Linked DNA regions of Macaca mulatta. The protein of the gene in region 1 interacts with the protein of each later gene in a pairwise test. Links are inferred from orthologs where the notes say so. Each region holds a gene or a part of one and is shown in the gene's direction. Other genes may lie near its edges.

What was found.
Region 2: the proteins of ERBB3 (region 1) and HDAC6 interact in a protein complementation assay, tested with the Homo sapiens proteins (2 studies listed by BioGRID and IntAct, with this or other methods). The link is inferred for Macaca mulatta from reciprocal best matches to the Homo sapiens genes ERBB3 and HDAC6.
Region 3: the proteins of ERBB3 (region 1) and PPM1B interact in a two-hybrid assay, tested with the Homo sapiens proteins (2 studies listed by BioGRID and IntAct, with this or other methods). The link is inferred for Macaca mulatta from reciprocal best matches to the Homo sapiens genes ERBB3 and PPM1B.

What each region holds. Positions count from the first base shown.
Region 1 is NC_133416.1:63,241,869-63,245,517, forward strand, and holds part of ERBB3 (receptor tyrosine-protein kinase erbB-3), read left to right. Parts: intron 1-1,224; coding exon 1,225-1,298; intron 1,299-1,460; coding exon 1,461-1,551; intron 1,552-1,798; coding exon 1,799-2,004; intron 2,005-2,217; coding exon 2,218-2,350; intron 2,351-2,535; coding exon 2,536-2,626; intron 2,627-2,852; coding exon 2,853-3,007; intron 3,008-3,649. UniProt on the Homo sapiens protein: Tyrosine-protein kinase that plays an essential role as cell surface receptor for neuregulins.
Region 2 is NC_133426.1:48,900,628-48,904,276, forward strand, and holds the end of HDAC6 (protein deacetylase HDAC6), read left to right. Parts: intron 1-1,254; coding exon 1,255-1,429; intron 1,430-1,546; coding exon 1,547-2,223; intron 2,224-2,306; coding exon 2,307-2,420; intron 2,421-2,550; coding exon 2,551-2,697; intron 2,698-2,784; coding exon 2,785-2,913; coding exon of another isoform or gene 2,914-2,928; exon of another isoform or gene 2,929-2,976; intron 2,977-3,099; exon of another isoform or gene 3,100-3,164; coding exon 3,165-3,233; 3' UTR 3,234-3,609; downstream 3,610-3,649.
Region 3 is NC_133418.1:80,680,362-80,684,059, reverse strand, and holds the start of PPM1B (protein phosphatase 1B), read left to right. Parts: upstream 1-763; 5' UTR 764-1,189; intron 1,190-3,698.

The sequences.
Region 1 (3,649 bases):
CGGCTCACTGCAAGCTCCGCCTCCCGGGTTCACGCCATTCTCCTGCCTCAGCCTACTGAGTAGCTGGGACTACAGGCGCCCACCTCCACGCCCGGCTAATTTTTTTGTATTTTTAGTAGAGACGGGGTTTCACCGTGTTAGCCAGGATGATCTTCATCTCCTGATCTCATGATCCGCCCGCCTCGGCCTCCCAAAGTGCTGGGATCACAGGCGTGAACCACCATGCCTGGCCTCTTTTTTTTTTTTTTTTTTTTAAGACAGAGTCTCACTCTCTTTCCCAGGCTGGAGTGCAGTGGTGCAGTCTTTGGGTCACTGCAACCTCTGCCTCCCGGTTTCAGGCAATTCTCCTGCCTCAGTCTTCCGAGTAGCTGGAATTATAGGCATGTGCCACCATGCCCGGCTAATTTTTGTATTTTTAGTAGAGACAGGGTTTCACCATGTAGGCCAGGCTGGTCTCGAACTCCTGACCTCAAGTGATCCACCCGCCCCTGCTTCCCAAAGTGCTGGGATTACAAGCGTGAGCCACCACGTCCGGCCCCCCATATACTGTTTTACCCAGATCCTCCAAATGTTAACATACCACATGTGGCTGGATGCAGTGGCTCATGCCTGTAATCCCAGCACTTTGGGAGGCCTAGGCAGGTGGATCACTAGGTGTGGATCACGAGGTCAAGAGATCGATCGAGACCATCCTGGCCAACATGGTGAAACCCCATATCTACTAAAAATACAAAAATTAACTGGGCGTGGTGGTGCACTCGTAGTCCCAGTTACTGAGGAGACTGAGGCAGGAGAATTGCTTGAACCCAGGAGTCGGAGGCTGCAGTGAGCCGAGATTGCTGCCACTGCACTCCAGCCTGGGCGATAGAGCAAGACTCTGTCTCGAAAAAAAAAAAAAGTCTTCCTTTCCTATTTATTTACTCTTATGGATACTTATTTTATTCTAGTCAATGGTTATGATCTTTTACAATCATCATTTATTTTAGCCAGCCCCTCCAAGCTGGCTCCTGTGTTCTTTGGGCTGTACCCTTAATTCTTTGAGTCTTTTCTTGTCTGCACAAGATGCTCTAGGCTCATATAGTTCCCCCATCCCAGCCATTTCTCCAAGGAATGTTTCCTTTTAGTGGAGAATGATATTTAGAAACCAAATTCTGAGGCTTGGTGTGCTCACTGCCACTGAATTATACCTTTACCTTATTGACTGGTTTCTACTGTTCTACTCAGAGACCCCTGGCACAAGATCCCTGCCCTGGACCCAGAGAAGCTCAATGTCTTCCGGACAGTACGGGAGATCACAGGTGAGTGGTAGAGAGTTTGGCCTTTCTAGAATAGACGAACCACTGGCATAAATTGCGGTATAACTACTTGAGAAAATCATGTCCCAAGTTACAGGGGAGGAGCTAGGAGAACCCAAGAAAGATGAAGTCTGCCTGCCCATATGCCTCTCTCCAACCCCTCAGGTTACCTGAACATCCAGTCCTGGCCACCCCACATGTACAACTTCAGTGTTTTTTCCAACTTGACAACCATTGGAGGCAGAAGCCTCTACAAGTGAGTAAAGACTATGGCAGAAGTGGCATCTTCAGGCATTCTTGAGTAAAATACAAGGCACCGTCTCATACAGCAGTACCTCAATACCAAAGGGTTTCAGAGTTTCATGAGGAAAAGGCAAAAGGAGGGGGATTCCCTCTCAGTGGATCTGACTAGCACTGAGCAAATTTCTTGACTAACATGATTCCATTGAATAGTTAATGTTCCCTTAGTAGTCTCTCCTCTCATCCTGTCTCCTTATTCTCAGCCGGGGCTTCTCATTGTTGATCATGAAGAACTTGAATGTCACATCTCTGGGCTTCCGATCCCTGAAGGAAATTAGTGCTGGGCGTATCTATATAAGTGCCAATAGGCAGCTCTGCTACCACCACTCTTTGAACTGGACCAAGGTGCTTCGGGGGCCTACAGAAGAGCGACTAGACATCAAGCATAATCGTCCGCGTAGAGACTGCGGTGAGGGAAAGGGTCTGCTGGGTGGTGAGAATAGGGAGTCAGGGAGGAGAGAGCTGAAAGGACTATTCTGCCCTAGACATGGGAGTAGGGTTGAGGGATGGAACCAAGGAGAAAGGGGCTGTTAGGCCGGAAGCAGTAACGAGGAAGAATAATGAAGAGAGGGCTTGCTGGGAGTCCTCAGACTCCTCTCCTAACCCACCCCTTCCTTTCCAGTGGCAGAGGGCAAAGTGTGTGACCCACTGTGCTCCTCTGGGGGATGCTGGGGCCCAGGCCCTGGTCAGTGCTTGTCCTGTCGAAACTACAGCCGAGGAGGTGTCTGTGTGACCCACTGCAACTTTCTGAATGGGTACAGTGAGGGGAGCCAGTCAAGGATGGGTGGGGTTGGGGCACTGCCATGGAACTGTTCAGGTGGCATATAATAAAAGCCTTTAGACAGCTTTCTGCATATGCCTTGGTGGGAGTGAGGTAGGAGACCAGGTCATGAAGGTCAGGACTTGGAAGTGACCCCTCTCCCTTTATTCCCCACTGCAGGGAGCCTCGAGAGTTTGCCCATGAGGCTGAATGCTTCTCCTGCCACCCGGAATGCCAACCCATGGAGGGCACTGCCACATGCAATGGCTCGGTATAGTAGCAGCACCAGGATCTCCAAGGGAGACACTCCAAGGGAGACAGAGAAGGGGCAATACTTGGAGCATCTGGGGAATGATATGGCTAAGGATAGTACAGAGAGGCCAGATAATGCTAGGGCCTGCAGATAGAAGATCCTGAATGTCTGGGTTGGTTTTTGCTGGGAGGTATGGAATTGACCTTGGGATCTGATTCTTCCTGACCTTCTCTCTTCCACTCAGGGCTCTGATACTTGTGCTCAATGTGCCCATTTTCGAGATGGGCCCCACTGTGTGAGCAGCTGCCCCCATGGAGTCCTAGGTGCCAAGGGCCCCATCTACAAGTACCCAGATGTTCAGAATGAATGTAGGCCCTGCCATGAGAACTGCACCCAGGGGTGAGTGATGGGATAATAAGGAGAGGGGGTCAGGTGGAAGGGTAGGAGCACAGAACTAGGGTGAGGGAAGCGGAAGCAGAAAGAAGAGAGGCTGTGATTTAAGAATCTCTCCCAGCTGGCCGAGTGCAGGAGCTCACACCTGTAATCCCAGCACTTTGGGAGGCCAAAGCAGGTGGATCACCTGAGATAGGGAGTTTGAGACCAGCCTGACCAATATGGAGAAACCCCGTCTCTACTAAAAATATAAAATTAGCTGGGCGTGGTGGCGCATGCCTGTAATTCCAGCTGCGTGGGAGGCTGAGGCAGGAGAATTGCTTGAACCCAAGAGGCGGAGGTTGCGGTGAGCCGAGATCACATCATTGCACTCTAGCCTGGGCAACAAGAGTGAAACTCCGTCTCAAAAAAAAAAAAAAAAAAAAAAAGAGAAAAAAAAAAGAATCACTCCCAGCTGTGTAGCGAAGGATTGGAGAAAGGGAAAATCAGTAACAACACAAAATTACACCACGGTTTTGGGAACATGGAATAACCTCAGTTCAAGAGGGTTTCACTGAAGAGGGGCTTGGGGAGAGCTAGTAAGCTGGGGGTGGAGGCCATGTCTTGGGATCAGCTTTGGGCTCCAGGATGGGATGCCATGGTAAGTTC
Region 2 (3,649 bases), on another chromosome or scaffold:
ACCCAGCTAATTTTTTTGTATTTTTAGTAGAGATGGGGTTTCACCATGTTGGCCAGGCTGGTCTTGAACCCCTGACCTTGTGATCTACCCGTGTCAGCCTCCCAAAGTGTTGGGATTACAGGCATGAGCGACCGTACCTGCCTCTTTTTTTTTCCTTTTGAGACAAAGTCTTGCTCTGTCACCCAGGCTGGAGTGCAATGGCACAATCTCAGCTCACTGCAGCCTCCATCTCCTGGGCTCAAGCAATTCTCATGCCTCAGCCTCCCGACTAGCTGGGACTACAGGCACATGCCACCATGCCTGGCTAATTTTTGTATTTTTAGTAGAGATGGGGTTTCACCATGTTGGCCAGGCTGGTCTCAAACTCCTAACCTCAGGTAATCTGCCCGCCTCGGCCTCCCAAAGTGCTGGGATTATAGGGGTGAACCACCATGCCTGGCCTGTGCTGTTATTTTCACCACTTTACAGATGAGGAAAATAAGTCACAGAGAAATTAATTGGCTTGCAAAAAGTCCCACTTACTGTGTGCCCAGTACTGCTTGTGACAGGACACGGTGGGAGTTAAGAACACAGATGACTCCATCAGAGAGCCCAAGTTCAAACCCCAGTGCTGCCTCTTCAGCTGTTATGACCTCGGACAAGTCATCTAACCACTCTGATCCTCAGTTTCTTTATCTGTAAAAAGAATAGCAACTGGGATTCCTGTGGAATGTAAAAAAAAGTCAATACAGGAGTCCATGTGGAGAGGGAGTCCAGTTGTTCCTGTACTAGGTCAGGGCAGGGTCTTTTGTATGGATTCACAGCAGTCGTCTTGTGCAGGTCAGGTCAGTGGTTACTGTATGATGTGAGGCCAGGGGTTCCTGGACAGTGTGAAGACGGATTTCTGTATGGCATGAAGGCAAGTTCCTGTATAGACTGAGCACCTGTGGTTGTGAGGATTGAGTTAATATGCATGAAGTACTTAAAATCAGGTCTGGCACACAGCAAACAATAAATGTCAGCTGTTACTAATGCTTTTATCAGTATCGTTATCTTGCACTTTACATCACAATTTACTCCCCACAACAACCACCTTACACAATGGGTGCTGCCCATCTTACAGGTGTGGGTTCTGTTCACTTGTTCCCAGTACTCTCCCTCCCTCTCCAGACTTGCAGGGCTCAGTAGGGAGGATTGGGGAGGCAGGACATGTTGCCCTCCAAATTCCCCAATGAACCCCCACCATACTTTTCCCTCCCCTTTTCCTTAACAAAGGGTGGCTATAACCTGACATCCATCTCAGAGTCCATGGCTGCCTGCACTCGCTCCCTCCTTGGAGACCCGCCACCCCTGCTGACCCTGCCACGGCCCCCTCTATCAGGGGCCCTGGCCTCAATCACTGAGACCATCCAAGTCCATCGCAGATACTGGCGCAGCTTACGGGTCATGAGTGAGTGGATTTGGGGGCGATGGAGGGAACTCAGGGAAGGAGGGGGCTGGGGGGCAGGGATTAGAGGCAGGAAGGAGGACAGTACCCACACTCAAGGATCTCCCTCCCTGGTTCCAGAGGTAGAAGACAGAGAGGGACCCTCCAGTTCTAAGTTGGTCACCAAGAAGGCACCCCAACCAGCCAAACCTAGGTTAGCTGAGCGGATGACCACACGAGAAAAGAAGGTTCTGGAAGCAGGCATGGGAAAGATCACCTCGGCATCATCTGGGGAAGAGTCCACTCCAGGCCAGACTAAGTCAGAGACAGCTGTGGTGGCCCTCACTCAGGACCAGTCCTCAGAGGCAGCCACAGGGGGAGCCACACTGGCCCAGACCATCTCTGAGGCAGCCGTTGGGGGAGCCATGCTGGGCCAGACCACCTCAGAGGAGGCTGTCGGGGGAGCCACTCCGGACCAGACCACCTCAGAGAAGACTGTGGGAGGAGCCACTCTGGACCAGACCACCTCAGAGGATGCTGTTGGGGGAGCCACGCTGGGCCAGACTACCTCAGAGGAGGCTGTAGGAGGAGCTACACTGGCCCAGACCACCTCGGAGGCAGCCATGGAGGGAGCCACACTGGACCAGACTACGTCAGAGGAGGCTCCAGGGGGCACCGAGCTGATCCAAACTCCTCTAGCCTCGAGCACAGACCACCAGACCCCCCCAACCTCACCTGTGCAGGGAACTACACCCCAGATATCTCCCAGTACACTGATTGAGAATCTCAGGACCTTGGAGCTAGGCAGCAAATCTCAGGTAAGGCCCACCACACCCAGGTAGGGGCAAGAAGGGGCAAGAATCAGGCTTCTCTGATACATCTCTTACTTCTGCGTGTCCAGGGGGCCTCAGAATCTCAGGCCCCAGGAGAGGAGAACCTACTAGGAGAGGCAGCTGGAGGTCAGGACATGGCTGATTCGATGCTGATGCAGGGATCTAGGGGCCTCACTGATCAGGTGAGCTCAGGCTGGGACTGTGGCTTCCTTCTCTTGCCACTTTGTGTCTCCAGGTAGGAGCATGTGATAAATAAACATATAATGGGGAGATGGGGTCTTCAGCTTACTCAGTTTCATCCACCCACTCCAGGCCATATTTTATGCTGTGACACCACTGCCCTGGTGTCCCCATTTGGTGGCAGTATGCCCCATACCTGCAGCAGGCCTAGACGTGACCCAACCTTGTGGGGACTGTGGAACAATCCAAGAGAATTGGGTGTGTCTCTCTTGCTATCAGGTATGGAGCAGAGGAAGGGGATGGGGCGGAGGTTGGAACTACAGGGGGGTGCTGACCCCCACCTGACACTCACACCCCCAACCTCAGGTCTACTGTGGTCGTTACATCAATGGCCACATGCTCCAACACCATGAAAATTCTGGACACCCGCTGGTCCTCAGCTACATCGACCTGTCAACCTGGTGTTACTACTGTCAGGCCTATGTCCACCACCAGGTGGGCCCTGGGTAGACCCTTCAACACGTGCACACTCACCCCCCACACACACACACCCCTTCTGTGATTGGGTAAAGGGAGACCACAGGCCCCTCTGCATGGCTGCCTCATGTGATTATTTTGCATGGGGCGGGGGCTGTGGGATAGTCCAGAAGACAGAGTGGTTGAGGGCTGGAGTGGGGGCAGCCCTGCAGCCGAGGTAGAGGGGTCCTCACTCTCTCTCACCTGCCCTATTCTTGCCTCCTCCTCAGGCTCTCCTAGATGTGAAGAACATCGCCCACCAGAACAAGTTTGGGGAGGATATGCCCCACCCACACTAAGCCCCAGAATACGGTCCCTCTTCACCTTCTGAGGCCCACGATAGACCAGCTGTAGCTCATTCCAGCCTGTACCTTGGATGAGGGGTAGCCTCCCACTGCATCCCATCCTGAATATCCTTTGCAACTCCCCAAGAGTGCTTATTTAAGTGTTAATACTTTTAAGAGAACTGCGACGATTAATTGTGGATCTCCCCCTGCCCATTGCCTGCTTGAGGGGTACCACTACTCCAACCCAGAAGGAAAGGGGGGCAGCTCAGTGGCCCCAAGAGGGAGCTGATATCACGAGGATAACATTGGCGGGAGGGGAGTTAACTGGCAGGTATGGCAAGGTTGCATATATAATAAAGTACAAGCTGTTAAAAAACCTGGAGAAAGCCTTTTGACTTTGAGCAGGTGGAGAACCCCACATCCCTGGC
Region 3 (3,698 bases), on another chromosome or scaffold:
AGTAGCCAAGCCCTTGCAATTCCGGGTGGGACCAGGCGTCCACACCTATAGCTGGACTGCTCGTTGGTCCCTTATGGCGCTTGATTTACGCAAGGCTTAGAGGTCAAATACAAGGGGGCACGGTCCTCACAGAACGGAAAGGATCCGTACAGACTCTCTGGGTTTGACCGTTTTCTAAGACGAACCAATCGCTTTTCAGATACCTCCCCGCCTTTTCCGGGTTCATTTGAAAAAAAGCCGGTGTGACGGACTTGGAAATTGGCTCAGTGACTGACCCGCAAAGAAAGCCAGTGACTGGGGGTTCGGACCACGATTTGGACCAATAAGAGAAGGCAATCGCTGGGGCCGGGGCTTTGCTAGGAGGAGCGCAGGTGGGCGTTATTTGATTGACGGCGGGCTCTACTTATGGCTGGTATCGGGGGCTGGTCCCTGACGTTTGGGAGGTAGGACCTAGCGGAGGCGGGGCCGAATAAAGTAAATGGTAATAAAGGGTTGGGTCTCACTTAGTGGGCGGTGTTTGATGGACAGCTGACCTTGCCAATTGAAAGTAGCCACTGATGTCCAATGGGAAATTAGAAACTCAGAGGCGGGGCCGGGTGGGCGGGGTAAACTAAGTACGGAGGTGTCGAGGGAGCAGCACTGGGAGGGGGAGCGGTAATTGACAAGACTCCCAGCAAACCAGAGGCCGCGACAGGGCGCGCGGCATCCCAGTGGGTGGGAGCTGGAGGCGGGGCTCCCTGAGGGGCGGGGAAGGACTAGGGTGCGGGGAGGGGGTTGCAGAAGGAGCCGAGCGGCTTCTGCTCAATGGCGGAAAAGCCGCCAGTGCTCTGACTGCCTCGTTCCCCTAGCAGTTGCGGGGGAGTTTCCTGCCGGCGCGGCTGGAGTCTCTGATTCTCAGGGTTAGGTGGTTGGAAGATGCTCCAGAGAGACGAGGCTGCGGCGGAGGAGGTGGCGGCGGCCGAGTCGGCAACGGCGCTGGGGTGGAGAGAAGGCAGCAGCGGCGGCGGCGGCGGCGTGAGGGGCCGGGCGGTGTAAACAGCCCCGGAGGCGGCGGAGGCGGTCGGTGGTCGAGACCCCGAGGGGGAAGCGGCGGCTGAGTCAGGGTCGCGCCTCCGTTGGAAACTTGGGTTGAGTACCGCGGCGGGCGCGAGCGAGGCGCCCTAGACATCTTCTCCCTCCCTTGCCTCAGGTAAGGCCGCCCGGCGCCCCGCCGGAGGGGAAGCGGCTGACTGGCCGGGCCGCCGAGGCCCCGAGCCCTGGGCAGGTTTTCCCGGTGCCGCCGAGCCGCGGCCGGGGCCTCTGTCCTTCCGAATCCTCGCTGCTTTCCCCGCGGAGCCTAGGCGGGGGCACGCCGTGCCTGGCTCTCGGGTAGGCCCCTTCCCCGGCCGCCGCCTCCGCTCAGCTGAGGACTGGGAGAGGCGCGGGGAGAGAATGGGAGTTTGCTCGAACGCCTGGACGCCAACTGATTGCCTCTTCCCTCCGCTTCAGTCTTCAAGCATCTCTTTCACACGAAAGCGCTGGGGCTACCCCAAGCCTTGGCTCTTCCTGGTGCATGCCCTCTTTGAAAACACTATCTTTTCCCTTTCATTTCCTCATCAGCTTCTGCCCTACTCTGCGCTCCACTTCACTTCCTTGTTAAATCGTCTTTCTCTGCTGTCTGTGCGTTCTACCCTCGCCTTCCCTCCTTAGTGGCTTTAAATTGTGTTTCTCTTCTCATCGTACCCCCGGCATCTCTTGTCTGCCTTCCCTAGCACCATCCTTTTCAGATGTCATTACTAACAGCGAAGTTATTAATTGAAACTGCCACTTATTTTCAGTACCCCAAATCTACCGGAGCCCCATTAAGAGTATAGACTGACAAGCCATAGATCAGTTTTTTTATAGTTTAAGCCTAACAGCCTTAAAAAAAATTGTATTATTAAACGTAAAGTGTGAAAATAACACCTAAAATGATTTTTTAAATGAAGGACTCAGTGAGTGTTGGAAATAGTTATTTCTTCATTTTTTAAAAATTGCATGACCTCTCATGTCAAATTTAGCAGATCTAGGACGTTTGCCCATCTTATCTGGCAAAAAAAGTGCTTCCTAGGCATTTGATAGCAGCCCAAATTCATCAATATTCAATTTCTTCTAAAAACTTCTTTTAAAAAGAGACATTAATAACTAGGAAGCTGTTTTGATAAAATCACAAAGAGCTTTTAAAATAGGCTCCACATGTTTAATGTATCAAAATAAAGTTGGCAGGCATGTTGTAAAAGGATTATTTAGGAATTTGAGTAGTCTTAGTGTTATGTAGCTATTTTAGGAAAAACATTCTTTTTCTGTTAACAAACGTTTACAACGACGGTGATGTGAGAATTACTGAGGCTTATTGTGGGATTAACACAGGAACTGTCTTTATTTGAGCTACTGCATGGATGAAGAAGTGGTAAATTGTTCAGGGTAGACAGTGTAAGTCACAGTATGTTCTAGGAGATGGAGAAACATGCTATGGACACTGAATGTTAATAGATGTTATTTCATTTACTTTCTCTGTTGTGCAATAGCAAAGTTCCTATTGTTGGCCTACTTTTAAATAGAGCATTTCTAAGTAAATAGTGAGACAAGTTATTCTAATTATTATGATAGTCTTTTCCAAGTGAACAGGACTTTTAAAAATATAGCTGAAGTAATGGTAATTTTTTAAGGAAATGTTTTTGTAGGTCTGCCAAATGGACAGTGTGTTGTTCTAATCGAAATTTTAAAATTAAGTATTTAGAACAGAATATTTTAGTCAACAGATTTTCTTTCAGGGATAATCTTTATTTTGTGCTGCTTCTCTCAATGCCTTCTTTGTCTTTTTTTTTTTTTTTTTTCTTAATGGTTGTTGTGTTTTCGCCTCTTCATTTGTTTTTGCTCTCATAAAGTCTTATAACAGTTTCTGCAGTGGTTCTTTTTGTTGCTGTGTATTAGTACGCAGTAGTAGTTTTATTTGAGCTTTCATGCTTTAAGATTTCATACTTTAAGATATCCTCTGGATTTGTTGAAATGATTATTCTCTTTGATGTGACCAGCAGAGCTTTCAACACTGTTTTCTTACACTGGGTGTCTGATTTCTGTGAAGACTCTAGGAATAGGTGAAAGGCCTTTCAGTTTAGTCATGTCAGTAAATACTGTTTTATGTTAGTAATTCACCTAATTACTAAATTCCTTAAGATTACATCATCTGAAGGAATGGTGTAGTGTCCAAGTAACTGTGCTTCTAAGAACAGCTGATTCACAGGTTGACAAGGTCAGAAAAAGTGGCTCTTGTTGAAAGTTATCTTTGCTATAACTAACATTTTTTTATGGAATCTTTTGAATTAAAATACGATGCTGATTATGTCTTGGCAGTCTTGGAATAGTAGAATTGGCCACAGTATCACTTAGTGATTGTGGTGATTTATTAAAAAGAGGCTATATAGGCCAGGTGCGGTGGCTCACGCCTGTAATCCCAGCACTTTGGGAGGCTGAGGCGGGTGGATCACTTGAGGTCTGGAGTTCGTGACCAGCCTGGCCAACATGGTAAAACCCCATCTCTACTGAAAATACAAAACTTAGCCGGGTGTAGTGGCGCATGCTTGTAATCCTATCTACTCAGGAGGCTGAGGCAGGAGAATCACTTGAACTCATGAGGTGGAGGTTGCAGTGAGCCGAGATCGTGCCACTGCAGTCTAGCC